Alligator mississippiensis: one gene and its partners. The main gene of each other region encodes a partner of the protein of the gene in region 3 in a complex. Links are inferred from orthologs where the notes say so. Each region holds a gene or a part of one and is shown on either strand. Other genes may lie near its edges.

The links.
Region 1: the proteins of NMT1 (region 3) and HPCA are in contact, whole or in part, in a crystal structure (PDB 7OWM), measured with the Homo sapiens proteins. The link is inferred for Alligator mississippiensis from reciprocal best matches to the Homo sapiens genes NMT1 and HPCA. Residues at the interface, in NP_066565.1 of Homo sapiens: Tyr180, Val181, Glu182, Asp183, Asp184, Asp185, Met187, Phe188, Arg189, Phe190, Tyr192, Ile245, Asn246, Phe247, Thr282, Ala283, Gly284, Tyr296, His298, Ser300, Lys310, Phe311, Ser312, His313, Tyr401, Leu403, Ser405, Tyr420, Gly468, Ile469; in NP_002134.2 of Homo sapiens: Gly2, Lys3, Gln4, Asn5, Ser6, Lys7, Leu8, Arg9.
Region 2: the proteins of NMT1 (region 3) and AIFM3 are in contact, whole or in part, in a crystal structure (PDB 6SJZ), measured with the Homo sapiens proteins. The link is inferred for Alligator mississippiensis from reciprocal best matches to the Homo sapiens genes NMT1 and AIFM3. Residues at the interface, in NP_066565.1 of Homo sapiens: Tyr180, Val181, Glu182, Asp183, Asp184, Asp185, Phe188, Arg189, Phe190, Asn246, Thr282, Ala283, Gly284, Tyr296, His298, Phe311, Tyr401, Ser405, Ile469, Gly470, Asp471, Asn473, Leu474, Leu495, Gln496; in NP_001373743.1 of Homo sapiens: Gly2, Cys4, Phe5, Ser6, Lys7, Pro8.
Region 4: the proteins of NMT1 (region 3) and NCS1 are in contact, whole or in part, in a crystal structure (PDB 5O9S), measured with the Homo sapiens proteins. The link is inferred for Alligator mississippiensis from reciprocal best matches to the Homo sapiens genes NMT1 and NCS1. Residues at the interface, in NP_066565.1 of Homo sapiens: Tyr180, Val181, Glu182, Asp183, Asp184, Asp185, Met187, Phe188, Arg189, Phe190, Tyr192, Asn246, Thr282, Ala283, Gly284, Arg295, Tyr296, His298, Ser300, Lys310, Phe311, Ser312, Tyr401, Leu403, Ser405, Tyr420, Gly468, Ile469, Gly470, Asp471; in NP_055101.2 of Homo sapiens: Gly2, Lys3, Ser4, Asn5, Ser6, Lys7, Leu8, Lys9.

Annotation. Positions count from the first base shown.
Region 1 is NC_081829.1:5,211,152-5,219,046, reverse strand, and holds the start of HPCA (neuron-specific calcium-binding protein hippocalcin), read left to right. Parts: upstream 1-4,878; 5' UTR 4,879-5,162; coding exon 5,163-5,423; intron 5,424-6,216; coding exon 6,217-6,621; intron 6,622-7,895. UniProt on the Homo sapiens protein: Calcium-binding protein that may play a role in the regulation of voltage-dependent calcium channels. May also play a role in cyclic-nucleotide-mediated signaling through the regulation of adenylate and guanylate cyclases.
Region 2 is NC_081833.1:33,547,809-33,554,768, reverse strand, and holds the start of AIFM3 (apoptosis-inducing factor 3), read right to left. Parts: upstream 3,001-6,960; 5' UTR 2,828-3,000; intron 1-2,827. UniProt on the Homo sapiens protein: Induces apoptosis through a caspase dependent pathway. Reduces mitochondrial membrane potential.
Region 3 is NC_081827.1:161,560,227-161,567,223, reverse strand, and holds the start of NMT1 (glycylpeptide N-tetradecanoyltransferase 1), read left to right. Parts: upstream 1-3,981; 5' UTR 3,982-4,008; coding exon 4,009-4,133; intron 4,134-6,997.
Region 4 is NC_081835.1:58,961,474-58,968,411, reverse strand, and holds the start of NCS1 (neuronal calcium sensor 1), read right to left. Parts: upstream 3,001-6,938; 5' UTR 2,930-3,000; intron 1-2,929. UniProt on the Homo sapiens protein: Neuronal calcium sensor, regulator of G protein-coupled receptor phosphorylation in a calcium dependent manner. Directly regulates GRK1 (RHOK), but not GRK2 to GRK5. Can substitute for calmodulin. Stimulates PI4KB kinase activity.

The DNA of each region.
Region 1 (7,895 bases), on a different chromosome or scaffold from region 3:
GCCAGAGCCCCTGAGCGGGGACCAGGCTGCCTGTGTGACAGGTGTCAGCTTCAGGGCCACATGGTCCTGGCACCTGTGCCCCTGCCAGCTGTGTAATCCAGAGGGCCTCTAGGCTCACGGACATTAGGAAAGCTTGCAGGCTGGTGTCACAGGCAAACAGGGCAGGGATCTGGTCTCCTTCTGTCCTTCCCTGGTGCTTGCTTTGCTCCAAGCCTTCCTGGGGCCTGGCTCCTGGCTGCCCTTCGTGAGCAGTGAAGTGGTTGTTTGCTGTGACTGCGTTTTCCCTCTGGACCCCTGCACCGTGCCCTCCGCACGCCTCCACTGCCCTTCCTCTCCATAGCAGAGCTGTGGGGTTTTGTGGCCTGCCCTCCCTCAAGCAGCCACTGACCCACGCCCCCCCCTCCCCAGCCCTGGCCCTGGCGGGTGTTGTTGGGACACCAGGATGATTGCTGTCAAGAGCCAGTTAAATATTAATGGAGAGTAGGCAGGCGAAGGCGTTGGCTCCGCCAGGCGCTACCGTCCCGGCCTACGCGGCTCCGGCGCGCAGAGCTGAAAATAAACCTCTCAAAAGGCAGCTGACCCAGTTCTGAAGCTTTTGCCGCCAGTACTTGCTTTCCAGGCAGGGCTCAGGCTAGGCCTCTGCAGACAGATGGGCCGTTAATGCCCATCCACCCCGACTCTGGCCTAAGTCAGCCAGTGGTTCTCTGAGGCCAGGAGGTGGGGGCTGTGTGCAGGGAACTTCCTCCAGCAGTGCCAGGCAGGGTTGCAGCAATGTGAACGAGGCACATGTCACCACTGTAGGTGTCGAGGGAGCCACCCGGGCAGGGCATTTCTGTGGCAGGGGAGTGGGGATGCAGTGGGGATGCTTTTGTTCTGCACTGAGAAATCAGGCATTTGCAGTAGCTCCAGCACTCAAAGGCTGAGCAAATGTTAGGGAGAAACTGCCTCCCCCGATCCTATAAACAAGTAGAGTGGAGGGCAGCTCGTCTCACTGCTGACATCGCGACGTGCGAGCATGCCGTGATCCTGCCGGAGAATGGGACCTTGAGAAGTCGGCAATGTCATCTACAGGCACCATCGGGGAGATGGGATTAATGGTTGGCAAACGCACTTCAGAAAGAACGTGAGCTGACATCGCACCTTGCTGCGTTCTCAGTGAACCAGGCCATGGGGCAGGGGAGCAGGCGTGGTGTCGCTGCGGATGGCGTAGTGAGAGCCTCTGGCTACGTGCGGAGCCAGCTGGAAAGACAAACCCAATCAGGACGTTGCAAAGCAGGCTGGAAAAGGACACTGGAGGAATCGCTCCCAATTACATGGGACAAATCCTTACACTTCTTGGCACCATCAGCGTGCTACTCACTGGCAGCTGGTCAGGAGTAGTGGGGCCATCAACTAACCGCATGTCTCCAGCATGGACATCTGAGCAACGGCCCCATTGGAGCCCATGCTGAGCTCAGGGGTTGGCTTGCCCACTACAGCATTGGGGCACAAGGCTGAGAACCCAGGCCTCCGGGGCAGCTCCTGGCGCTGGTGTTTGGATCTTCCAGCAAGTGACAAGTGGGCTGAGAGAAACTCCAGGGTGAAATCTTGAGCACGGGGGACCCAGGGATGGGGCTGGGAGCCTGGCTCTGTCCCCGCCTCTGCCGTAGACGGGCTTTGTCACCTTGAGGAGGTCACTTAACCTCTCGGCATCCTAGCCCCAAGCAGAAGGCTAATTAGCACATGTTGCTCCTTGGGAGCAGGGGCTTGTGCGTGTGAGCATGTTGGGCTGCTTTCACCAGGCAGGTCACGGGGGGATATAGCAAGCTGGTGCACTGAGGACCAAAGCCCATCCTTGCTGGTCCCCCACGAACTGGAAGGTTGTGGTTGAACCTGGCTGCCCTAGGGATTGTGGCCTGTCTGTGTGCATCGCTCAGAGCCCACCAGGCTCAGGGCTCTCCACTTCTGCATCCCTACATCAGATGCTGTTCCTGGCACTCCTCTCTCCCCAGCACACTTGGGTCAAGTGTGCCTTTCTAGCCTGACGTGCCCGCTGGCTAGTGCTGCTCTCCAAGGAACAGGCAGCCACCACCTGCTTAAAACCTGTCGTACTTAGCTGTTGGGAAGCTGTGGCTGGGGAGGGCTGCGATGGGTCATGCCTACAGTCTCACCTGCTCAGGGGATGAATAGGGAAGTTGCTGTGCATTAAAAATGGGGTGTTCTCTCCCACGGACCTTGCCGTTCCCTGTCCTCCACTCCTCGCAGCTCGTTCCAACGGAGGATGTGTTTCCAAGGCTTCTGTTTTATTTCTGGTACAAAGTCTGTGCTGAGATAGCTGTGAAACGGCCTATTGAGCCACTGCTCCAGTCCCTGCCCAGGCCGCAAGCCAGCACTGGGCACATCTGGAAACTGCCTTTGAAATTCTCTTTCTCCCTGCGTGTTCCTGGCTACAGATCTGCCACCTCCTGAATGTCCCGGGGGCACTTCCCTCTCAGACAAGCGGCCAAGAGCATCCCACACTGGCTCCCGCGAGTGTGAGGACTGGTCCTGTCTGCCTCATGCTCTAGGATGATGCATCTCTGCAGTTACTGGTGGTGTGCAGTGACGTGAAATTGTCCTTCGCTGATGGGAGGGAGGGGGTGGGGAGGCAATCGGGAGAGGGCAGAAACATGGGGCTGCTGTGATAACACGGTGTGCAGATGAGCAGCAGTGCTGGTTTCTCTTAGGTGGCCCCGATACAGCTTCTGAGTGAGGTGTATCCACGCTCCAGCTCTGAGCTCCTGCTGCAGTGAGCTCCCCCCTCCTCGGTGGCTGGACCCAGTCTCTCCTTGAGGCTTGCTTCGGGGTCATTCCACAGTTCTTTTGCTTTGCAAAGGCTTGAACCCAAGGAGCACGTGGCGAGAGACCCATGTCTGAGGCCTGAGCTGCAGATTTTGGTCCTGCTCCCTCCTACAACCCTCCTGGACAGGATCACACGCCTCTTCTCTGCTGCTGCATCCCAGCTCAGGCTCCCTGGCAAATCAGTTACCTCTTGTAGGTGCATCTCAGGGCTCTCCAGTAGGCTGAACACATGGAGATTCAAGTCTCCTGCTGCGGTGCCTAAGTAGCAAATGGCTCCAGCCTCTGCTTTCATTACATCCTAATTGAACTAACCCAGCTGGAGGTACCTGGCATCTTAGAGAGCCTGAATGGGTCCCCTGGAGTAGTGCCATGGGGCTGGGGGGAGCTAGGCAGTGCAGAGCTGACCCTGCTGGCATGCAGGTCCTGTGGAGGGGCCTGTCTCGCTCCTGCAGCCAGACATAGCACCCAAGAGTGTCAAGTGCAATGGAAAAAAGTGAGGGGAGGGGAAAGAAACTCCCTAGTTCTAGGATGCATCTTGCCCAGCCACCTTCCTCCTCCTCCTCCTCTCACAGGTTCTGCCTGTTTGTGGTGCTCGCTCCGGTGAACAGAGCTGCCCATACACTTGCAAGGCTCAGAGAAGCACACTCCATGCCAGGACTGCTGCATTTTATGACCCTGTCTGCAGCCCAGCCCAGCCCGGCCGGCCCCTGCACGTACAGTTGCCAGTCAGAGCAGCGTCTGACTGGTGCCACATCAGACCCTGTGGTGACTGCAAGCTGTAGTGGCACGGCACTGGGAAGAAAACTTCCCCTGGGAGACCAGCCTGGCTGTCTGTGGGGGGATAAGCCTGCAGCCAGGGGACGTGCCCCTGGCATAGCCGTGCGTGTGGGGTGCTGGGTGCCCATTGCTGCTGGGAGCACGCTGAAGGGGGGCAGCGGATGTGTATGGAAAAGCTGCTGCTTCCCTGAAAGCAAAGGATCTCTGCCTTGCTGCTGGATCCTAAAAGCTACCTTCCTCCCAGCTGATTCGTGCCGCTCTGCGGTGGTTCCTGCTCGAGTCTCCCTCCTGGTTTTGCAGCCTGTTTCCTACCAGCCACCTGAAGCCCCCCCCCCCCCCCAGTCATCCTGCCAGGCTGTACTGCTCCATGTCCCCCAAAGTCGCAGCGCCACCAGGGGCTGGTGCTGGGACTTGTGCTAGGGCCTGGGCAGCTCAGGATGGCTTCTCCCTGCACCTCGAAGGCAGGGAGCTGAGTGCAAGGGTAACAAGATGCCATGGACCCAGATGCATTTCAGTCTCACCAGCCTGGGCATCATTCACCAGACAACAAGCAGCACCTGCGCCCTGCATGGCCCTGGCCAGCCCTGCCAGTGCCATTAGCCCAGCCCTGGGTGGGCTGTAATGACATGGCTCCTCTCTTCTGGGCTGTGCCTGGTAGCTGCTGTCTACAGGGCAGGGCTCTGCTATTAGATGAACCAGGGACAGGGAGAATGGGAGCTGGGGAGCACAAAGGAGCTGAGTAATAGAGGGGTGGGGGGAGATTTACAGGGGGGCCAGTGACAGGACAGAGGGAGTGATGGGGGAGCAGGTGGGGCTGGGCACAGGCTGTAATAGGGAGTAGGGGGGAGATGTATAGGCTCAATGTTGGGGTGAACAAGGGGAAGAGCTTTCATGGGCCCCCTCCTCCGGGAGGTCTCGGGCCCAGCTGGCCCCTGCTCTGGGGCTGGCAGGCATCCCCTAGTACGGCATCTCTGCCCTGAGCAGGGCCAGTCTATCCCAGGGCTTTGGGGCATCCTAGTGCACTGGAGCAATGACTCGGGAATCCCTGTAGACGGGCTGCCTACCTGCTCCCCGCCTGCTGCAGCCCCCACAGCTCTCTACACCTGATGCCCCTCTTCCTCATTAGGCATGGATGCAGCTCTGTGCCTAATGAGCTGGCAATTACTTATGCAAATGAGGAGCAGAGCTGCCCAGGGATTGCTGCAGGGAAGCTCTCCAGCTGCTGGCCCATTAGTGGGCTGTAAATGGCAGCCACCCCAGCAGGCCTCCCTTTGGCTGCCCAAGGAATGGTGCATACGTGTGCGCGTGGCTGGAGAAGGGTGCTCGGGAGCTGTGCCCGGGGCAGGGATCATCAAGGCCTTAGGCAGATGAGCCATAGAAGGGACACGGGGTGGTTGCCTGTCTGTGTGCTGGTGACGGCTCAGGAACTGGCTTCACGGTGTCAGCTGGAAGTGTAACTGCGCTGACTCATCTGTGTGCACGGGTCTCTAGCGTGGGCTCAGTGGGGCTCTAACGTCCAGCTGGCTTGGAGCAGCTCCCTGCCACGTGCTGTGGTCAGCACTGGCATGGGGTCCCGAGCCAGACATGCTATTCCCATCTGCCTGGCCTGGCCTGGAGCAGGAGGGGTTGAGCTTGCTGCTTTGGAGCACAGGGAGCCAGTGGCCACAGCCAAGCCAGGCTGTCTGTGGTGTGTCTGCAGCTCTGTTGGAGAAACCAGGGCTTGGGCAGCCCCTGATTGCCTGCCCCGCAACCTGTTCTGTGCTTCTGGGGCCTTGGCAGGACCTTCACTAGGGAAGGCAGCCCCTGCCCTGTTAGCACGGCCCCAGGTGAGCCCACAACAAAGGAGGTGGCTTGGGGGAGCTCTCAGGGGAGCTGTGAGAGTGAGTACTGGGTAGTGAGGGGGGGATTGGGGTGCAGTGATGCCAGCCTGCCCGCAGCCCCAGAACCAGGCCCAGCAAGAGCAGTGCCCTCAGTGGGGTGAGCTGCGAATAGGCAGGGAAAGACCCCCCCGCCCTGCTGCCCCCCATTTCATACCTGCACCCTGCCCTCCTTAGGCTCAGTCCCTGTGCAAGGGTGCCTGGCTGAGTGGACCAGGCCTGCTGTGTGAGGGGTCAGCATGCCATGGGCAGACTGGCAGCCTGACCACGTGGGAAGGCAATGAGCTGCATCCCTGGGATGGTGTAGTTGGACATGGCCTCCATTCTTCCTGCTAGCCTGAGGTGGCTGTGAGGGTGGTGGGGAGGTGGGAGGAAGAGTCCTGCCTCAGGCTGGCTCAGGTGCCTTGAGGTGTGCAAGCTTGGCCTGCTTATTGGTGCACAACCAGAGCACCTGGGAACCCTGGTTGTGTATTAGCACCCCAGGGTGTCAGGTGCAGCACACCCACAGAGATGCCGGTCAGCTCTAATGGGGGCAGCATTTCCTAGGTGATGGGGCCAACCTAGGAAAGTCTGTGATACTTTCCATGAAGTCACAAAGGGCAATTCGTAGGCTTTATGGCAGGCAGGGACCATTAGACCAGCTGATGGCCACCTGCGTAACCCAGTCCCTGAGAGATGCTTGCACCTGGTGGGCAGAAGGGGTGACCCGGCGCATGCCTTTCTCACCTCTTTTCGCTCCTAGGCCCCAGACCCAGGCTCGGGCGTGACCATGGGGAAGCAGAACAGCAAGCTGCGCCCGGAGATGCTGCAGGACCTGCGGGAGAACACGGAGTTCTCGGACCTGGAGCTGCAGGAGTGGTACAAGGGCTTCCTCAAGGACTGTCCCACCGGGATCCTCAATGTGGAGGAGTTCAAGAAGATCTACGCTAACTTCTTCCCCTACGGCGACGCCTCCAAATTCGCCGAGCACGTCTTCCGCACCTTCGACACCAATGGGGATGGCACCATCGACTTCCGAGAGTTCATAATCGCCCTGAGTGTCACCTCGCGGGGCAAGCTGGAGCAGAAGCTCATGTGGGCCTTCAGCATGTATGACCTGGACGGCAATGGCTACATCAGCCGGGAGGAGATGCTGGAGATCGTGCAGGTACCACGGGGGTTCCTCGGTGTCAGGTGTCTGTGGAGTTCCCTGCACTGGGTGAGGCGGTATTGCCCTCTGTAAGGGCCCAGTCCAGATGTGGGATGCCTTCCCTTCGTGGCTGCAGTGGGGTGAGGCTGGGGGATCCCACCAGCCAGGTCCCTGCTGTATGCTGCTCTGCGGGCCATCAATAGAGGTCCTCCAGCAGCTCCCCACCTCTCAGGGCCCCAGCCAGCATGCACCCAACCATCACCCTTTCATCATGAAAGGCTGGGGAGATGGTGCACTCTGTGGCCCCCCAACCTTGGCATCACAGACAACCTGTGGCCTGGGAGCCCCTGCAGTAGCACAGGCCCTTGCTCCCCCACATCGAAGGTCCTGCTTTTCTCCTGCTTTGCCTCCTGCTCAGTGCCTTGCCCCTGTGCAGAGTAAATGTGAAACACCCTCTGGGGATGGAGCCCCATCCCCACACCCCATCCTGCAGTGACGGGGCTAGGGACAGGGCAGCCAGGGAGGGTCTGTGGGTTGGCCTCTTGCCTGAGCCGTGTTTCTCTTGTCCCGGGTGGAGGCAGGCTGCCTGCGTGTGCCCCTCTTGGCAGGAGAGGCTGCTCTGGGCTGAGAGAGTACCAAGAGCTGCTTGCCTTGCTGAGGGAGGGGGCTGCAGGCTAGAAGCAGGAGCAGATTCCCTCCCCCCAGCACTGCGGCAGGAGAGGTTTGCAGGCAGCTTTTGAATAAGGGCAGGCACATAATAGAGAGGCTCCCTGGTTCCCTGCAGGCAGTTCTCTGTTCCCCCCTCCTTCCCTCCTCTGGGTACAGCTCATTGCTCCCTGCCTGGTGGGGCTGCAGAGAGCAGATTGTGGATCTGAATTTAATGGAGATTAGCCGGCTGGATGGCGAGCTGACCAGATTACCGGAGGGCAAGGGTGAGGGCATTGTCCCTCCCAGCCCCTTCTGCCTGGCTCTGGTGCAGACAGGAGATGTGCGGACACCCACCCTGCTGCTGTTGGCATATGGGCGGTGTGCCTGGCAGGCTCCGGTTCCCACGATGGCAGGGTGACACCTGTTTACAGCAAATGTAGCTGTGCCTGGGGGAGCCATGGGTGCGGATCCTGGAGCCAGCTCCTGGGAAGTAAAGCGCCAACGCCGTGTCCCATGGGGAGACCGTTGGGCTTGCGGCGGCCCAGCAGGGCTGGTATCGTCACTGCTGGGAGCTCGGGGATGCCAGAGGGATCACGGCCGAGGCTGCTAGACCAGGGGGGGATTTGCAGAGGAAGGACCCAGCA
Region 2 (6,960 bases), on a different chromosome or scaffold from region 3:
AAAGGAACAAGAGAGGAGGACTAGGAGCTCTGTTCTGGCCTTGTGTCATGTCATGATGTGGGTGAACAGATGTGGGATCACTTGCAGATCAAGACACTGACTCGGATTTTCATAGATAAGTAGAATTCAAAGTCTAACCAGGTCAGGAAGCCAATCCAGGAGCAAAGTCCGGGGACACACCGAGTCAAGAAGCTAAGAGATCAGACAGAGAACTAAATCCAGGAATGGACTGAGTCAAGAAGCTGGAAGATCAGACAGAGAACGAAGATAAGCAGAAAGCCAGGGGACATACACAAGCAGTCCTGAGCCAGGTTGCCCTACTGCCCAGACACTTCCTGCTCTGTGTCAGGGGGTTTATATGTGGGAAATAGAGTGTCAGCTCACCCTAGCCAACCACTCCAACAACAGGGAGCAGTCTGCGGGTTAGGTCCTACTAGAGGCTTCACACTGGCTTTGACCAGCCTGGGTGGGCTATTCATGGGGTGACAAGCCAAGTTCCCATGTTCAAGACTGCAGCCTGATGCTTGGATGTTCAAGAGGGGATATCAAAGAGAAACTAAGATTTAAGTTTGGAGAGGAGTTCAGAATAGAAGTAGATCTGTGAGTCACTAACAGACGTGATAAATGGCTGTGCTTGCCAACAGGCTATAATTTTTGGTGCCACTGGAAATGGAAGCAAAAACATTGAAGTGTGTTGTGATGAAGTGATGAGAATCATCATGAAATGCAGGAGACTTCTCAAACCCATGATTTCCTTGCTGTTAAGGTTTGAATAAGGTGCATCTCGAAGCACCATATCAGCCACTAAGTTTCTGCTTGTGTCTAATATTTAGTTACTAAGCTGCTTCCATATAATGTGTCCAGAAGGTTTTAAGAATCACCAGGAATTCTTTTAAAGATAGCAGTTAGCTGGGATTGTTTTAACTGTTACTTGAGCAGTTTAACCTGGAGAGTATAAAGGCTCATTCAGCAGGGTTTTCAATGCCACAGGTTTAATATGTTCTTTGCAAGTTATTAAAAGTTTTGAAATTGACATTGATCTGTTTAATTATTAATCTCAAAGGCGCATCAATAAACAAGGAACCACTGACAAGTTTCATGAGTGCCAGACTGCACAGTGTAGAACTGAAGCACTTTGCAACAAACAAAATAGTGAGAATTGAATTGTAACTTTGAGATATTCATTATTTTTAAATCATCATCTTGCTCTCTAAAATTTAGAATTTCATTATTGCACAGGAAAAGGATATTTCTGTTACTGAGTCTGCAGGCTCATGTAACAGATGAATTTAACATATTTAAGTCATATTCCATTTGATGGCAATGTGATTTCTGTAGCCCTAGCTGCATTTTAAATCAGGTATTTAAAAAACAAACAAACAAACAAAAAACACCAAACAAAAAAAAACAGGGTAATAATTCTGGGTCATACCAACACTGAATAACAGGGAAGTCAGTTAGAACTGGAAGGCATACGGAATGAACATGTATACTGTATTCATGTATGTATGTTAGAAAGGGACACAAACTGTTTTGCCAATACTATTTAAATAGTGTCCATCCTTCTCACATTGGCAAATGAGATTATTCTCATCTCTCAGGTTAGACAGTTTAAAGTAACTGATCACTGTCATGCAAGATTAGTTCAGAACTTGAGATAAAGCCCAGCAAGGCTTGTTATCATAGAAGTAAGGCTGGAAGGGACCTCAAGAACTCATCTAGTTCAACCCAGGATCAAACTTCTTATTAGCACACACCCATGATATTTAGATTTAAAACGCAGAAGAATATTCCCACCTGGAACTCTGTTTTGGGCCCATTTGCAGAAGTTAGGTCAAAATTTTGGGCTCCTACAGCTAGAATTTTTAGACACACAAAGAAATAGGAACCAAAATCCCACTGAAAGTCACTGGGAACTTTGTGCCCAGCTCCTACATTTGAAAACTGCAGTCTCAATTCATGGTCAGGCACCTAGAAAAAACTGACCAGATTTCCACATTTATTTGTTTATTGGAGACAAACTGATTCACCATTTATTTATCATGTTAATGAGGTTTTGAATTGGGGACAAACTGAAGCTGAACGGAAAACATCTCTAGCACATCAGGCTGAAATCCAATATTGCCATTTTGTGCTGCTCATTCTGAAATCTGTGCTGGCAATAATAAAGCCCTTTGCAGCATGAGAACTGCAGTCTCAGTGTTAAATTAGATGAGACAGAGTGAGCTTGCATTCCTTTCTTAGGCTTTAAATTTTAAATTTGAGAAAATATTAAGTAGGATGATGTTACAGACAGTCTATTATTCATATACCCAAAATTATGCTACCAAAGCAATATAAGCAGTACAAAAAAAAAAAAAATTTAAAAAAAATCAACATATCTATACTGTATAAGCTATAAATCACCAAAATGTGAGAAAAACAGTCTTGTTTGCTTTTGTACAAATAGAAACTTATTCATTTGCTGCTCATAAAACAAAAAATGCATGATCCAAAGTGACTGCTTACCTAAAGAGAAAGACTGAAATCACCCTTAGCCTAAAGCAGAGGGTGATAAGAGAGACTCTGAGTCCTTCCAAGCAGCAAGATGCTGTACTTTGCAGGCATTTGCATTGTATTCCAGGGCAGTATTTAGAAAAGACCAGAAACGAGCTGGTAAGTGTGTAATGCAGCTCATCCTAGGTTTGCAGCAGGGAGTACAGCCAGTTTTCTTGGGCTGCACGCAGTATTGATAAAGTAGCTCAGAAAAGCAGCAAGACAAGAATTTCCCCCATTCCTCCCCCGCCCGTTTCCCTTGAGTTACCCATGCTGCTGCTGCAGCCCTTACCTTTATAGACGCTCTTGATTATTGAAGAACTTCATGCACATTTCTAAAGACTTCGCTGCGTAAGTCCCTGAGGGTGACAGAAGGCCTTTTGGCTGTGATGTCAGAGTTAAGAATGCCATTGAATGTCTCTTAACTGCTTCAGTGCTGTCACATACTTGTTTGCCATGTGCAACGTCCTTTTCTGCGAATGAGTTGCTTTATTGCATTTTTTATTACTGAGAAGTACTAGAGAGATGCAGGGAGTGTGAAATCATTCATGCAAAATGAAAGGGGTGCTATGGGAATGGAATTTCATTTATATCTGAGCTGCAGTGGTCTACAGTGCAAGATAGACAATTCACATGGGGTACAAGCATAGAGAGGGCACAGTGCACCATTCATGTGGGGTGCTGTACATTCATTTAGATATGGGGCTGCAATAGGTCTGCTTACCATTTATGGCTTTCATAGGTACTGTTGGTATGGGATACTATTTGTGTGGGCTATTGGGAGGGAGTGTGGCATACCATTCATACAGGATCCAAGACAGTGCAGTGATACGGTGTTTCACTCACTAGGAGCAGAAAGAATCATATGCAATTCATATAGAGTAGAGTAATGCGACACTGGTCAGGCTGCAGTTGGAGTACTGCATCCAGTTCTGGGCGCCACACTTCAGGAGGGATGTGGCCAGCATTGAGAGGGTCCAGAGGAGGGCCACTCGCATGGTCAGGGGGCAGCAGGGCAGGCCCTACGAGGAGAGGCTATGGGACCTGAACCTGTTCAGCCTCCACAAGACAAGGCTGAGAGGAGATCTGGTGGCCATCTATAAACTTACTGGGGGGAAACCAGCGGGGAATGGGAGAGGCCCTGTTCCCCCCAAGCACTACCTGGAGTAATTAGGAATAATGGCCACAAGTTAATTGAGAGTAGGTTCAGGCTAGACATCAGGAGGCACTACTTCAGTCAGGGCGGCTAGGATCTGGAACCAACTTCCAAGGGAAGTGGTGCTCGCTTCTGCCCGGGGGGGGGGTCTTCAAAAGGAGGCTAGATAATCACATAGCTGGGGTCATTTGATCCCAGTACTCTTTCCTGCCCATGGCAGGGGGTCGGACTTGATGATCTGCTCAGGTCCCTTCCAACCCTACCAACTATGAAACTATGAAATGTGGTATACCATTTTTTCAGGGTTGCAGGGCAGCAGGCGATATGATATACCATTCATGTGGGGTCCAAGAGTGTGCACTGGCTTTCTATACCATTCATTTGGAATGTAGGGGAGCCCAAGGGATACCATATAGACCATGTATACAATTCACGTGGAGTGCAATCCCTTATATTTTTATTTCCCCCTGTTTATAGGATTGTTGGAAAGTATGGCTGAAAAGGGCCTCACAAGGTGATTTAGTCCAGCCCTCTGCTCAAAGGCAGGACTAAGCCATCCCAGCCGAGTGCTGTCCAACTTGCTCTTGAAAATTTCCAAGGATGGAGATGCCACAATTTCTCTAGGTAGCATGCTCCAATGCTTGACCACCTTCATAATCATAACATTCTTCCTAATCTTCAACCTAAATTTCTTCTGCTATAGCTTGAGGCCACTGGACATTTTTATGTGTGTTCAGGGAATGGGGTGGGGGCCTTCTTTATTTAGAGCGGCTCCAAGAGTTGCTCTAATTAAAGCACCTGGAGCATCTCATGTGTCAGCATCTCTGCCCTTCAAAATGGCGGCGGGGTGCTTTATCGAACGAGTTTTAGCTAAATCGCCCCCGCCGCCAGTTTGAAATGCAGGGACACTGATGCCTGAGATGTGGTGGCTAGCTAGAATGCGCTAATTAGAACGCTCCAGTAGACTTGATTAACCTAGTCTGCTTTGACATGTTGTAATTATAGTGCATCAGAGCAGCCTCCCAGAACATGTACAGGTACCCATTGTTCCTAGTCCTGTCCTCTACAGCCACAAAGAAAAACCCATTTCCATCCTCTCTATAATCACCTTTCAGGTATTTAAAGACTATTATCAAACCCCGCCTTGGCCTTTTCTCCAGACTAAAGGCTCTTTCAGCCTTTCCTCCCAAGTCCTGCTTCCAAGGCCTCTAATCATTTTTTGTTGTTCTGAGCTGAACTCTTTTCAATCAGTCTACATTTCTCTTGAAACATGGGACCCAAAACTTGACACAGGACTCTGAAGCCTCAACAGCACTGAACAGAACAAAAGAATTGCTTCCCTCAACTTGCAAGTGACATTCCTGTTAATAAACTCCAGTACAATGTTGGCCTTTTTTGCAACAAAAGCACTGTTGGCTCATATTCTCTTACTGTAACCCCCAGGTCCTTTTCTGCAGTACTGCAACCTAGCCAGTTTATAGATGTGCATGCAATTTTTCTGTCCCAAGTGCAGGACTTTGCACTTTTCATGGCTGAAATTCATCTGACTGATTGCAGACCATTTTTCCCATCTATTCAGGTAATTCTGGCTCCTAGTCCTGCCCTCCAGAGTGTCTGCAACTCTACCTAGCCTGATGTCATTCACAGATTTCCTAAACTGCAAATTTGCTAAGCATGCACTTAATCCCATCATCCAAATCATTAATGAAGATGTTGAACAATACTAGATTTAGGGTAGATCCCTGGGGCCTCGCCTGATACATCCCCCCAACGACTTTGAGCCATTGAGTGCTCGTTGATCAAAAAGATCCAACTAATTACAGCAGGGGTTGTAAACCAGGGGTACGCATACCCCTGGGAGTACTTGGGAAGGTCCCAGGGAGTACACAGTGGTGGCGCAGAGAAGCAGGGGTATGTGGGAAATGCGCCATTGTGCACCTGATGCCATGCACCACTGCTGCCTGCCACATGGCAGCACCAGGCAGTGGCACACAGCAGCAACACCTGCTGCAAGGGTGGCGGTGCAGAGCCAGAACCCTCCTCCTCAAACGGCTGCTGGAGGACCCCCACCTCACCCTCACTCCTCAACTGGCCACTGGGGGACCCCCCCCCCCCCATCAACTTGCCAGTGGGGGACTCCCTCGCCCCTCCCCCTGCTTGTCCAGGAGGGGTACCTACCAGAAGGGGCACACTCCTTAAAAAAAAAAGGTTGAAAACCCCAGAGTTACAGGTTTCCCTCGCTTTATGCTGTACACGCATTCCTTGAAAACAGTGCATAACTCAAATTTGCATAAAGGGAACCCACTTTACAATGTAACAAATAGGGCTATGTTCCAAGACCTCAACTGTACTGACCGCCAGACCCATTTCTGCCACTTTTACAAGACAATGTTGGTACTCACCAACAGTATGATAGTGCCCTGTGTTTGTATGCACTTTCTAATGCGGATGGCAACTATAGAAACACGTGTCCCAGACAACAAGCGAGGAGCACAGATCCACACAGGAGAGTATATTTTGGTGCAGATCACTCCCACAATGCACTGCACAAAGCTGCTGACTGCAGGCTTCCACCACACCAATCGCATAAGAGCGAATTTACCTCGCATATAATGAATCTTTGGTATAAAAAGGGTCATCACATAAAAGCAAATTCGCACATACAGAACCCACAAAAAGCAAGGAAAACCTTATAGTACTTACCACCCTTATAGTGCTTGAGTCTAATCTCTATTTTCTTAACTTATTAATGAGAATGTCATGGGACAGTGTTAAGAACCTTGCAAAAAAGAAAGCCTTACGAGTTGTCTTTGAACCCTCTAAATAAAACCCATTTTCATAGTCTTTTCTATATATTTCCCCTCTTTCAATTCTGTCTTGCATGCATTTTATCACTCCTCCGTGATATACAGGACTTCTTTCCCCCTCATATAGGGATTTATTCTCTGCCCCCCTCCTTTCCCAAATCCTTGTAGTTTAATGAAAAATTTATAGAAATACTAAAATATATTTTTCACTATGTCTGCAAGAGACTACCTATGAGTTGGACTTCTTACCATCTGACCACAAACCAGGAAACTTCACCCTGAACCACCCTGGTCAATGTTTAGTCTGCCTGCATTGGCATGTGAGAAGAACTATAAATCCTGATGTGAAGGTAAAAGAATTTTTACTATTTCTGTAAGAGATTAGATAGGAATTGAACCCATTGCTACTGCAAGCAAAGCAAATGCATTCCTATGTCTCCATATATTTCCTAGCTCATTACT
Region 3 (6,997 bases):
AGTCTCTGCTTGGTTAAGCCTGAGTAAGAAACTAAGGGGTTTTTTGGTTACCACGAGTCCATGGCAGTGGTGCTCAACCTTCCAGCCCCACAGGCTGGATAAGTATATTGAGCCAGTCCATGGACCAGATCCCATGAGCAGTTGGCATGCAGGCGTGATACTGCACCAGCACCAACCCCAAACACCAGATCAGCCACATGCTTGCCCAACCCTGACTGCTGAATCTAGCTGCAGAATGACTCCATGTGTAAGCCCCACTGCCAACTGGAGTGATCCAATGCAGAGGCATTCAATAAATCCGGCCCCCCTGCATCCTGTCATCTGGCCGGTGGGGCTCCCCGAGGGTCCCAGTCTCCACATGGGGAAGTGACGCCAGGACTGTGGCCTGATCCTGGCGTGCAGGGTGGATCTGGGCAGAGGCAGTGGGGCCCCCCCGAGCCCAACCTAGACAGAGGGAACCAAGGCGGGGCCCCAGGGCCCAATCCTGGCACAAGGGCCGGATCCTGGTGTGCAGAATAGAACTGGACAGAGGCTGTGCAGGCTCCCTGGAGCCCAATCTTCACATGAGGAAGCAATGTGGGGCCCTGAGCCTGGCACATGGGGTGGGGCGGAACAGCACCAGGGCCCTCACAGCCCAAGCTCCACTCAGGGAAGTGACAGGGGGCAACAGGGCCTGATCCTGGCTCCCCAGGTCTGCACCTCTGGCAGCAAGGGGCTGTCAGTTTACACTACTGCCACTCCCCTGCCCTGCCGCCAAGCATCCCAACCTGAACCTGGCCTGGAGCCTGCAGCATGCGACCCCAGTCTGCCTGCCCGCTCTCATCCCCCAACTACCGGGGCTTTGCCTTTGCTTCCCCAAGCCTGCGGGGATGCCTGCAATGCAGCAGCTCCGACCCCTTTTTCTTTGGGACAAGGCCAGCGCTTGGCTCTCTGCGCTTTTGGCGCCGGAAGAATACTAGGGGCGCTGCTGTGGGGCGCAGCGAGACGCACGGGACCGAGGGTCCCTATGGGGGCGCTAGGGGCGCAGCGACCGCACCGCGGGCAGGCGCCTACGCAGGGAGTCTCGGGTCGCCACAGCTCGCCCTAGCTTTTCACCCATCCACCCCCACCCACCGCCGCCACCGAGTTAGTGAGGCGGCCACAGGGCGCAGACACCCCCTGCTGGGGGCGGGCGTTCCACCCGCTAGCTCGCTCCCATTGGACGTGGGGCCGCACGCTGGGGCCCAGCCACGCCCCCACCCTGTCCATCATCGCGGAAGCCCCGCCCCTAGCCCCGTGTGCCCTTGGAGGGAACCTGAAGCCTCCTAGTCCCGCCCCCCTTTGCCTCTAGTTCCACCCGCGAGACCCCCTTCGCGCGCTCCCCTTCCCTCTCTCTCTGCTTCTCCTTCTCTTCAGCCTCCGGCCCCCTCACCTCTCCAGCTGCCGGGCACGGATTCACCCACCCCGCACTATCATGCTCTGCCATTGGTGGAACGCAAAGTAGCTCCACTCGCTCGACCAATCGCGACTATTCTGATTCGTCTAGCTCCTCCCCCGCCCCTCTCGGGCAGAATGTTAAGTCACTGCAGGGGAACGACTGGGAGGTCGCTTGATTTGGATGTGGAAGGAGAGGGGGATCAGAGGGAGCCCAGGCAGTACTTACCCCAGTGATTCTCAGCCCCGCATCTATGAGAGCCACTTGAGAGTCCCCCAGTCAAGAAACGTGAAACAGTTGGCATTTTCCGAAGGGTGCCTCATGGCTACCGAGGGGCACCTTGTGCCTGTGAAAGCTGAGACCCATTCCTAGAGTGTTTAGTGGCTTGAGAATAAGCACAGCTAGCTCGGGCCTTCCTGCACTGGAGTCTACGTGAGCAGACCCCGTGCACCTTGTGGACCATCTTGGGGCTCCAGAGAAATCAAGAATCAACCTAGGTGGAGTCAGCTGCGGGATAAGGGTCTTGCAAATTAACCTGTTACTTGAAATCCAGCCAACCTAAAGGAACAGTGAAATATGCTGACTGCTTTTGTTCAACTCTCATTTGATACAAGGTATTTGGTGGTAAGAGCAGAGTCAGCACCATGCCAAGACTCCTCATGAATGGTGACCTGATGAAGAATGTCTTGCATTCAAATGCTTGTGTACCTGTCCCAACTATCTAGTTGGTCCAATAAAAGATATCGCCCTAAGAAATCCTTGTCTCTTGCATAGTTTCTGGACCATCACAGCTACAAGGTCACTCTTGCACTACTGAAATTCCTACTCCGATACCTTTCTCTGCTTGATTAAATTACCTCAGCAGATGGATATGTGAAAATAAACCACATAATCACAGCAAAAAATACTTTCTTGCGTAAGGATATGATAGTGAGAACTGGGATCTAGATGGGAACTGTGTGCCAGATCAAGAGCTCTATCTAGTCTAGTGTCCAGTGGCCTATTGCTGACGTCTTTTCAATGTAAATCTTATCCCCTCCTACCTCTTAATGTAGCTGCCTGATCTTTGGGGTCTATGTCCAGTACCCAATTGCTGATGTTTTTAAAATACAAAACCTGTCCCCTCCCACTATTTAATGTAACTGCCTGTTTGTAGCACAGAACCCCAAAATAATTGGAGGCTTTACAGAACATGTGAAAGACACACCTACCTGGAAAGTTTACAATCTACGTGAATGATTCTCCACCAGGGTGCCATGGCACCCCGGGGCACCTGGAGAACTTTTCAGGGGTGCCACAGCATGCCACACAATGTTAGGTATGCAAACACAATTTACAAAATACAACTGGAGTTTTCAAATGGGAATTGATAGCGTTAAGGCCACCCTGCTCTGCTGCGGGCTTTCCAAGTTCTTTACCACAGAAGACTTGCTCTATTATTTTTCTCTAGTCAAAACACAAGTGTGTAATGTGAATGTAAGGCGTGTAGTAGCAAAAGGAACCTGGGGGTGGTCTGCAAAGCAGTGCTGACTGCTAAATTTGGACTACAACTCCCAGAAACCCCTAGGGGCTGAAGGAAAAAAAGGAAGAGGAAGCTTGAGGCTGGAAAGACGCGGGAGTGCATGTGGAGCCTGGTCAGCCCTGCACAGAAGAGTTCATTGGGAGAAGAGTGGATTGGGAGGCCTCACAGGCTTGGTCAGCCAGGAGTGTGGCCTAAAGAGCTGGACTCGGACTGGGGGGCAGCAGCAGGCTGCTGCTTGTGGTCTGCCAGAGAAATTATGGTGCCGAGTGTATGTTATCACAGTGTTGATGTTTCTTCATTTTTGACCTGTTCCCTCCCTTTGGCTTGTAACCCCAACCCCTCCAATTTTCTGTATTAAAAATGGCAGCTCCCCTTAGCTACTTGTGCCAGTTTCTGGGGCTGCAGGTAGTGTGGCCATCATAGAGGACAGTCTGGTTGTCCTCTGTCCTCTTGATATGAAACTGGATGCGTTTATGTCCTGTTTCTCTGGAAGAGAAACATAGAGGACATAAAGGTATTGGGTTTTGTATCAATAGAGGACAGAGTAGGGGAATGTCCTCTACGATGGCCACCCTAGCTGCAGAGTTGGCACAAGTAAAAGCTAAGAGCTGGCCTTTCCAGGGGGAAGTATCAGTCTGACATGGGGCACCTCAAGCCTAGCACGGTTGAGAACCACTGAGCTAGTTAAGCTGCAGTATGAAGTGCTGGAATTACTGAACCCTTTGAAGCTTCCCACTCCTGCTTCCTTCCGAGGCCCAGTTCCCTGCGCCTAAGCATGGGTGGCTGTAAGCATCCTTGACCCAGGACAATATTTAAGTCCCTCTTTGGACTCACGCCTGTGGTCGCCAAACACAAATAACTACAAGTCCCAGCACGCGCCGGCGGGCCCGGGACCGGCTAGGTTAGGCTGCCTTGACGCAGAGCCTGCTGGGAATTGTAGTCCCTTGCTCATCAACGGCTCCCTTCCCTTCCTCCGCGAAGACTGCACGTCCCAGCATGCCCGGCGCGGTGGCGTCCAATCGCTGCGCACTTTGTTGTGGGGGTGCGGCACCCACTAAGGCCCCGTTTCAAGATGGCGGACGACAGTGAGACAGCAGGGAAGCAGCCGCCGTCGCGGCCCCAGCGATCGTCCGGAGAGGAGAATGACCACGAGCACTGCAGCGATTGCGAGAACGAGGAGGATGACTACGGCCGCGGGTAAGCGGGAATCCGGGTCCATCGGGCCCCCGCGCAAAGAACCTCCCGAGCGCCCGGAGGCGGGCAGTGGCAGGGAAGTGAGTCTAGCTCCGCCTCGCGCGCGCCCTGATTGGCCGGGGAGTGGAATTTTACCCTTTGACAGGCTAAGCGCTGTGTCAGTCACGAGGGGGGGTGGCCTGTGGGCTCCCATTCACTCGGCTGCCTGCAGTAGCGTGTCCTGTGAGCTAAGCAGGGTCGGGCCGATGGGAAGGGAGACTTCCACGGGGCAGCTCTAGAAGCGACTACTTAGGGGTGCTGATAGGAGCTCTTCCTTCCTGCTTAGTCCTAAACCCACTGTCCCTGTTGAGATTAGGGACCAGGGTGGTGCCACTGCCCTGGTATTAAGGGTTGCTGGTATTGCTACAGTCCTGATGGTTGCTTGGATGTTGCCCCCCCCTTCCCCTGCCCCCTTAGCTGTGGTGTTTGGGGGTTCAGGGAGGGAGACCCCCCCCCCTTGTCCCTGGGCTGCTGTGCTGGGTTTGGTTGTCATCTGAAGCATAACCTGGGGTCCCCAATGCCCATAATCTTTGGCAATCCCATGAGATCTGTCACAGGAGTTAGTCAAGGTGTCCTGCCTAAATCCCAGCTGGGGCAAATCCATTCAGCTGCCTTAAAACCACCTACAGATTTGTTTGGAAGCTGTTCTTTGCTTGTGATCTGCTGCCATGTTTGCTGCCTCTGAGCAGCTGCAGTACCTTACAGTGGGGGCTGTATTTTGCAAGGGGGTTAGTGACTCTTGCCTGCGTGTCTCTATGTGGTTGGAAAGCACTCTGCCTGATCCTGGTGTGGCTCCTTCTGGCAGGCAGAAAGAGCCATGCAGAGACATATTTTGCCTGCCACTCTGCTCCTTGCATGCTGAAAGGTAGAGAAGAACAAAACCAAATGACAGATGCAACAAAACTGAAAACTCCTAAGCAATGAGGCGGCCAAAGGACTGGTTATGTAGCTTTATGTAGAATTGTGTTTGTCCACACCCAGGTCTAGAAACAAAGGAGGTGGTGGCCCCATATTCCCAAAAGGACTCCATTAGTAAGAGAATCCTCCTTGCTTGCATCAAAATTATTCCGAGGGGCTTTTCTTTTTACTGCAGAAAACTGAGAGGAGACTATGCAGCCCCATCATGGAGACTGTGACTCCTCATTGTCCTTTACTTGACAATACCGGCTTCTTCCTCTTCCTGCATTGCCCAATGTCCCTGTCAGGGGTCTGCATACTTAATAGTAATACTTCATCAAACTTTCCTGCCAGGGTTTGTTCTATTTTTCCCTCTGATCTTTGGGTCTTCCAGTGAGCCCCCATGTAAAAAAGACAAGTCTTGGAATCTTAATTCCTTAGAGTCTATTCAGACTGTAATAGGAGCAGTGGATAAGCACTGTGGCTATTAGCAGACTTTTAATATGGTTTCCCTGGTCAGGGTCATTAGAGATTTCTTTCTTGAGAAATGTGATGCTGAGCATTCCCTTGGGTCTAGTCCATGCATATAGGTCAGGGAAGCAATGCCTATTAACTACGTGTATAGTTGCCCATAACAGTTGTAGCTAGTGCGCTTCTAATTCTGTAGAAGGCAAGACCTCCTTTTACTGTTTCTGTTGAATCCATTTTATTCAATGAACTGTTTTCTCAGACATATTTGTTCTGCAGTACTCATCCTACCCAACCTTCCTTGGTTTTGGTATTTAAATAATTCAGCATGCAGGGAAGGCTGACCTAAGATACCATTGTTCTTATTTGCTGTTTTTTATTATGGGTTGATATGTGTAGTAGGGCAGATTTATTTTTCAACAGCTTTGCGGTGAAATGCAGTTTTAGTGTTACAGAAGTAAGAGGATCATGGCACCCCAGAAAAGGGCATCTCTTTTCTCCCATCCCCTTGTCACCCACACTAGAATACAGAGGACTTCAGTAGTGCAGATGGTATAAAGGGGAGGATTTTTGTCCCATTTAAGCCTGCTTTGCAGGCATTCTATTTTGCATTCTGGGGTGACAATCACATGTGCCACCACCTTTTTTCCCAGAAATTTGGGCAATGCAGGAAGAGGAAATTGCTAGTGCTATGCAATTTTTAGCTTCAGTTGGAAGTCTCTTCTCATTTTTTTTCTTTTTGTCCATGTCATTGGCCCCATTAGGTGGTTGGCCTCCTGTGAGATTTAGACTATAGCTAAAGAGCAGTCTCTGTCAGCAGCATTTATTAGGCAATATTTCTCCTCAGAAAATCCAAGCTTAATAACAGGCCACTTAAAAATATTACAGAAGCTTTCTTACACAAATACAGACACACTTTTAAATTTCAGTTGCCTCCTGGGTGCGGCATTGCATCTCAAATTAATAGGGGTAATGCTGTTATAGGCTTGAGAAGCTTTTCTTTGCTTTTCCTTTCTGTTCTTCTCAAGTGATATGGTATGTGAAACAAGTGATAAGCAGTGTGTAAATCACCACAGTTGGCTGTGTTTTTCAGTTATACTTCTAAGTCCAACTGGATTTTAAACTCCTTCACTAGGGCTGGCGGGGGGTGGGGAGTGTGCCTTTAATCACTGTTGGTGTCCTAGCAGGGGCAAGGCAAGTTTGGGTTCTAATACCTGCCTGAACCTTAGCACATGGTGACTGTATCTTTTTAATAGTTTACACTGAGGTTAGGACACACATTGTATCAAACCAACAGGTGTTCAACATTTGTATCTTGACAAGAATATTGGGAGTGCCCAGCCCAGCCCAGCCCAGCCTAGGTTTTAAAAGAGTTCTAAGCTCAGTTTGTGTGGGAACCAGAGTTAGAAATCAAGGCCAGTGGATCTAGTCATAGTGAATACAAGCCTTAAAGGCTCCCCCAC
Region 4 (6,938 bases), on a different chromosome or scaffold from region 3:
TTGCTGGAACATAGTGGTATTTCCAAGCCCCCTGGAAAGGTCTCTGGGGCAGGCTGGTGTGAAATGGTAAAAGGGCGGGGAGGCGCAAAGCCGTTCCATCTAGCTAAATGTGAGCACTAACAAATGATCTGTGCACAAACGAAGCATCCAAATAATGTGCCTGAAGGGGAAATTCAGCACTGGGCCAGCCTTTGAATGCAGCCTCGCTCCTAAACCCGCTACGTTTCTCTCCTGGGGTATACGTCCATGTCCCAGGCAGCTCTCCGTTAACCAGGCAGCGAGCGACTGCAGTACAATATTGCAGTGTAATCACTAACTATCTTGGGTACTCTTACAACACGGCAACAGCAATAGACACACAATGCCACAAAGGATATTAAGTCCCGGGTTTTCAGAACTAGCTTTTTCAGTCTGTGCTCAGAGTTTATACACCTTCTGTTCACCATATTGCAAGCCGCTGCCATGGAAATGATTATTCATTCAACGATATTCATTATTCTACTGCCTCTGTGATCAAAGAGGGTGAGAGCGGGAGGGTGGGAGGAAGTTCACACTTAAATAAAAGCCAGCGTCTTTTCAAATCCAGCAGCGCCAAAGCCTGGAGCATGCTCTGCGTTATTTATTACTGGAAGAACTCAGAAGCGTGTGGGCTTGGAGTACAGTAAGATCGGTTGTGCACCAGGCATTTGTTTCCTTGGGTATTTATTTGAGAGAGTTAAACAGAATGACTTCTCCCTAACTGGTCACAGCAAGTCTATTAGCTACAGAAATACGCTCTGTTACAGGTGGGATAGCCACCTTGCAGTCCAACATAATTGAATAAGCATCTCCAGTGGTTTCTGCTTTAAACTCAGGACATTGTTGGGAGGGGGAGTTTATTATTATTGTTATATAACTGATAAATCATTCTGGCAAAACATTGCTGGACCAAAACATTGCAGTGGCAAACATCGACATCTTCGTTTGCCTGCCTTTGGGTCTGCGTAAACCAGTGGTTCTCAACCTTTTCAGATTCAAGGCGCCCCTCCTTAGATGCGAGGCCCACTTTGCAAAATGCCAGCTCTTACTTTTCACTCCTTTTTTTGACTACGGAAAAATAAAAGCAGTTTTTTCTTTCGGTTGCCAAGACCCGAGAAAGGCCCCAAGAGCTCAGAACGGTTTGGCAACATGGGGTCCTCTTGGAAATCTCTGGGTTTATCATGGGAACCATGTTTGCCCGCCTAACGGTGCAAACACTTTGAAGACTCTCAAGGCACTGCTGGCTGCTGCATCCTCCTGGTTGAGAATCACTGGTAGAAACAAGCACAACACCCAAAAGCTCACAAAGAACAATTTTTCCAGCTATGTAGTTGGTCTAATAAAAGATATCACAATTATTCAAAGAAACCTTGTCACAGCACCCCAAGGAGCTTGAGTACAGAGGCCCAGAGCTGTTACAAGAGCTGTGTGACAGCAGTGTTACACCAAAGGGACCGTGTGCACCTATTTGATGCCTCCCAAATTGCTCCTAGTTCATTGCTTGGAACATCACAGGAGTCCTGAACCCCCTGACCCCGCATTCAAGCCTGGGTGTGCCAGACACTGCACGTGCACGCATGCGTGCACACACACGGCCAAACATGTGTGCACACACGCATGCACACACACATTTGCATACATACAAATACATGTACACGCATGCACAGCTACATGCACGAAAACATGCAGTCACACTACATGCACATACACGCATGCAGATACACCCACACATAAGCAGACATGCACACAAATACGTGTACATACATGCGCACACACGCAAGTACACACACACAGATGGACACAATACATGCACATGAATACAAGCACATCCATGCACATAAATACATGTACACACATGCAAATATATGTGTGCACACAAATATGTGCACACACATGCACGTCCAGAAATACGTGTGCACACGAATACATGCATGCACATAGAGACCCACAGGTAAATACAAGCACACTCACGAATACACACAACTGCACAACTACACGCACACACACAGAAATACATGTGCACACATGAATACACACATGCACATAGAGACCCATGGGCAAATATATACATGGACACACATACATGTGTGTATTCAAACACACTACACGCGTGCACACACAAATACACACATGCACATAGAGACCCGTGGGTAAATACATGCATGCACCCACAAATACAGGCACACACACACATGTGCACACACAAACGCACAACTACATGTGCACGCACAAATACACACACATACACAGAGACCCATGGGTAAATACATGCATGCACCCACAAATACAGGCATACACACATATGTGCACACACAAACGCACAACTACATGTGCACACACGAATACACACACATACACAGAGACCCGTGGGTAAATACATACATGCAGACACACAAGCACACAACTACACGCGTGCACACACAAATACACGCATGCACATAGAGACCCACATGTCAATACATGCACACGCACACACACAAATAGACGTGCACACACCTATGCGTGCAAACGCACAACACGCGTGCACCTAGAGACCCACGGGTCAATTCGTGCACGCACACACGAATACACGCGCACACGCGCTTGCACATTCGCGCGCGCGCACCGAGATCCATGTGCACGCAGGGATACGCGGGTGCACGCACAGGCGCACACGCGGACACCCATGTGCACACGCGAAGACACGTACATCCACGTGCGCACCCCCGCCCCGCCCAGCCGCGCCCCGCTCGGGTCGGGTGGGGTCGGTGCCGCGCAGGCCGGGCGGCGGGACGCGGGCAGGGTCGGGCCGGGCCGGGCCGGGGCCGGGCGGTGCCCGCGGGGAGGCTCCTCCGCAGCCGCCCGGGCCGCGCCGCCCTCTGCCCCGCGCCCGCCGGGGATGCCGCCGCCGCCGCCGCCGCCCCGCACTCACCGCGCTCCACCGCGGCTCCAGCCCGGGCCCCAGCTCCGCCTCCGCCGCCCCGGGCCGCGCCGGGCGGGGCGGGTCCACGCGGGCTCTCCCCACCGCCTTAAAAGCCTCCGGCGCTGTCGTGGCCTTTCTGGGGTCTTGGCAACACACAAAACCCACCTCCGGCTCCCCCCAGAGCCGGCGTGGGGGAGACGCGGGGCCGGGAGCACCTCCAGAGGCCAAGCCATCCCGGACCATCACCCCCAGCTCAGCCCGCCACGGGTAAAGCAGGGGAGCCCGCTATAAAACCTTGTCAACACTCGCTCAGGAGAGCCCTGCTATGGAGGAAGGCACCCCCCCCACCCCTCTGCCTGGGGGGGCAATTCCTTCCTGACCCCAAATAAAACGAGTGAGGAGCTGGTATTTTCCAAGAGTGGCCTCGCGCCTAATGCAGGGGCCTCGAGTCCAACAAATCGAGCAAGGCTGAGCGCCGCTGCGGTCTGCCCCACCTCGTTCCCCAGCCCTGCACGCGGTGAGGATGAGGAGGAGGAGCAGGGTTTGGAGGAGGAGGAGGGTTTGTGTGGATGGAGGACCTTCTGGCTTGGACCTGCCCCCTGCTTATTGCTGGCCTGGTGTTGATAGCCTACCTGTGCACTGTGTGTGCACGTCTATTTGTGTGTGTGCATGTATTGACCTGTGGGTCTCTGTGCACGTGTGTTGATAACTTACCTGCAATGCAGGGCACCTCCAGCCTGAGACCGGTGCTTTTTAAATATGATTCTGCAGACAATTAAACTCATAAATCAGCTATGCAGATGGCTAAGGGAAATGTATTACTGCTGCCTTCCCCTCTCACATGGAGCCATCATGGGCACCTTGCTGTGTTTTTAACTACCCTCCCCACACCCGTCTGGGGTAGGGAAGTCACAAAGGGCACCAACACCAGGCCAGGGGACCTCTCCAAATCCTACCGAACCTGTTCTGAGCATGGGACCGTCTTTGCTCAGTGCGCCAGGACGTGCGTAGCTTGAGGCCTGTTGGGCGCTGGACTTGGTAGATCACACTCCACACAGGTACGGCCGCTGCTGCGTCCTCACTCATCTGCCCCGGTTCCAGCGCCATTGAGACCATCCTGCTCTGTTTGGTGAAGTGCTGAGCAGGTGTGAGAAATCCCTTTGCCCTCCATCGTCTAGGCTGAACAGTTTCCCAGGCAAACGGGAGCAGAGGCGCCTGCGGGGCCAAGCGTGCTGATGTGGTTCCACGAACAATCAATGTAGACTCATACTTAGAGCGCCGCTCGTCAGCAGAGAGCTCGCAGAGGCTCTCCTGCATCAGTCCTGGTGCCAGCAGGCTGGGATCACGGGGGAAGAGGCATGTTGCCAGTGTTGTGTGCTTATTGTCTCAGTATCATTATCCCAAATGATCATTGTATTTCCACCATCTCCTGTAGCAGACTAGGGAACTAGCAATTAGTTCCTTCCAACGGCAGAGATGATTCTCATACCGCTGCATGCCAAGGGTGGGGGGCGCTTGCTGTTTGGATAGCTTGTTCTGGTCTGGAGGTTGCCAACTCAATTCAAATTGTGCCTTGGTAATACCGGACTTCCCAGGTGGCCCCATGAAGAAGGGCGTCTACACCTGACGTAAAGGTGTCACACAATGTGAATAAAAGCATGGAAATCCAGCCCTGCTGTAAAAGTGAACAGCCCCTCTCGTGCACTTAGCCCGCCCGGCAGGGTTCATAGAAAGCCAGACTTGGTGGGGGGAAACATGGCAAGGACTCGTCTCAGGGAGGGAAAGGAATTTACACGTGAGGCTGATTAACTACAGAGGCAGCAAAAAAACAGCTATTTTAGGATAATATTAATGATCTGACTCAAGCTGACAAAAGCCAAAGAAATTCTTGGCACCTCTGTTGGCTGCCCCCAGCTAGGAGCTGAGAACGGGACTGGCAGAGAGCGCAGGCACTTATGCCATCCTTGGAAGCAGGCCTGCCAGGTCAGGGGCGAGGTGTGCTAGCAGGATGTGGCAAGACAGACCTCAGATGCACTATCCCAGAGGCACCCGCTCAGGGATGAAGCAAGGTCTTCGGTCCGTGGGGCTGAGGCTCTGGCAGCCTCCCAACACGTGCTTGATGGAGCATTGGACTGGACTGTGCTTTGTATGCACATCCTTGCAGGTTCCAGTTGGACGCATTGCACAGAAATGGTAATTTTATTGAGGGCAGAAAAAGGTTGAGGCTGAGCCAAATTCATCCCTGAGGCAGCAGCCATCAGCAGTTACACAGAGATGAATCTGGCCCATTTCCTTCATATACCCTCCTGTCCTCTGCCCTGGCATTTCAGGGACCTCAGACCCAGGCACCAACTCCAGAGCAGAACAGGGTAAGTTAAGGGTGCTGTGAGCCGCCTTACCTACGACCCCATTGCTTCTTGTCTACCAAACACCACATATTTGAAGCATTCCTCGCCTTGACAAGACACGACTGGACCAGCTGTTGTTTTGGCCCTGAACCCACAACAGGTCACACTTTCAAAATGTAAAATCCTAGCAGAGGATTGACATGGTAATTGCTTTGATGACTGAGCTATAAGCAGCCAAATCACAGAGCCTTGGAAATTAAGGTTTATAACCTCAAATGCTGAGGGACCTGAGCTCCAGCAGCCCTGCTGGGCACCACTATAATAAATCAGTTCTACATACTATGAAGTGTTAGTACCGAAATCCAACAGGACTTCAAGTGAGAGTAATGGAAAATGTATTGATGTACCAACTCGGTGCCAGCTGGGAGAGGGGTCCTGCAGGCTTTTCTCCTCCAGATGGTGGGTCTTTAAACATGAAACCATGGACCAGCATCAGAGAAGGGGTAGTGGCAGGCATGCCTACATATGGCTCAGCGCAGTTGCTTTCTAAAGGCTGACATGCAGATGGTGCGCTGGGCACGACTACCCACTACACTATTAATCTCTCGTTAAATTCCAGTATATTTTTTGAAGACTGCATTCTCTCCACAGCCTCTAGGGCATAATTATTATGTTAATACAGCAACCTTGAGAGGGCGGGATGTTGTGAACTAATTGGTTCCTCTCTTTTTTTTTGCCTGCCTTATGTATTAAATCCTAGGGCTAAGACACAAGAAGGCAAAAGGTAATGACTTCTGCAGGTCCTTAAGCCTGCTAGGATTGCGTAGCGAACAACAGGGAAAAACACTCTTCTCTCCGCCCTTTGCAGATTCAGCTTGCGGCAGAGCGACCCCAGTTCTGTTCAGCTCCTCTGAGCCTCCAAGATGCATTTCCAGCTGGACAGCTTGCTTGTTAAGAGGCTGAATCCCAGAAAAGTTTTCTGAGAGATCAAAAAAAAAAAAAATGGGAATGTGGCAGAGTATTGTCTTCACTAAATACGCTAGCACTGTTAGCTGTGCGATTTGCAGCAGTTGCATACAGCAGAGCCACTTGGCTCCATTCACTGGGCTGCTCAGGACACATGGCTCATGTGGAAAGGCTTTTTTCTCCTTTCTCTTTAAAACATTTCCAGGCAGGGGTGGGTTGGCATGAGGGAGGTACCCCTGTGAGGACTGCTCCAAAGGGACAGAGAAACACTGTGGGAAGTGTAAAGAAAATCTTTTGGCAAAAGATTCCTTGAGCAGGCCTACATCCCTTGGGGTGTAGCAGAGGTGGCAGGGTGCAGTCTGGATTTCCAGTGTGACACACAGATATTGGGGATGGCCAGAGGGCCCTGGACAGACACATTTTTGCACCCATGCACCATATAAGCTTTTGCACTCGAAGTTCTCCACTCTGAAAAGACCTGAGAAGGGGAGTTCAATCTTCATGTCCATTACAATCCAGTCCAAGTACACACATAACGCACAAGGCGCACAATTGTGATGGCCACAGTTGTGCTGGGCGCTAGGTGGAACCCCACTGATTTCTGAGGTCACTCATGAGTCACATTATATTTTCAGCTCCTCCGATTCACATGCAGCAGAAACACCGGACACATTGTCAGTGCTACAATCAAAGAAATGAACAGT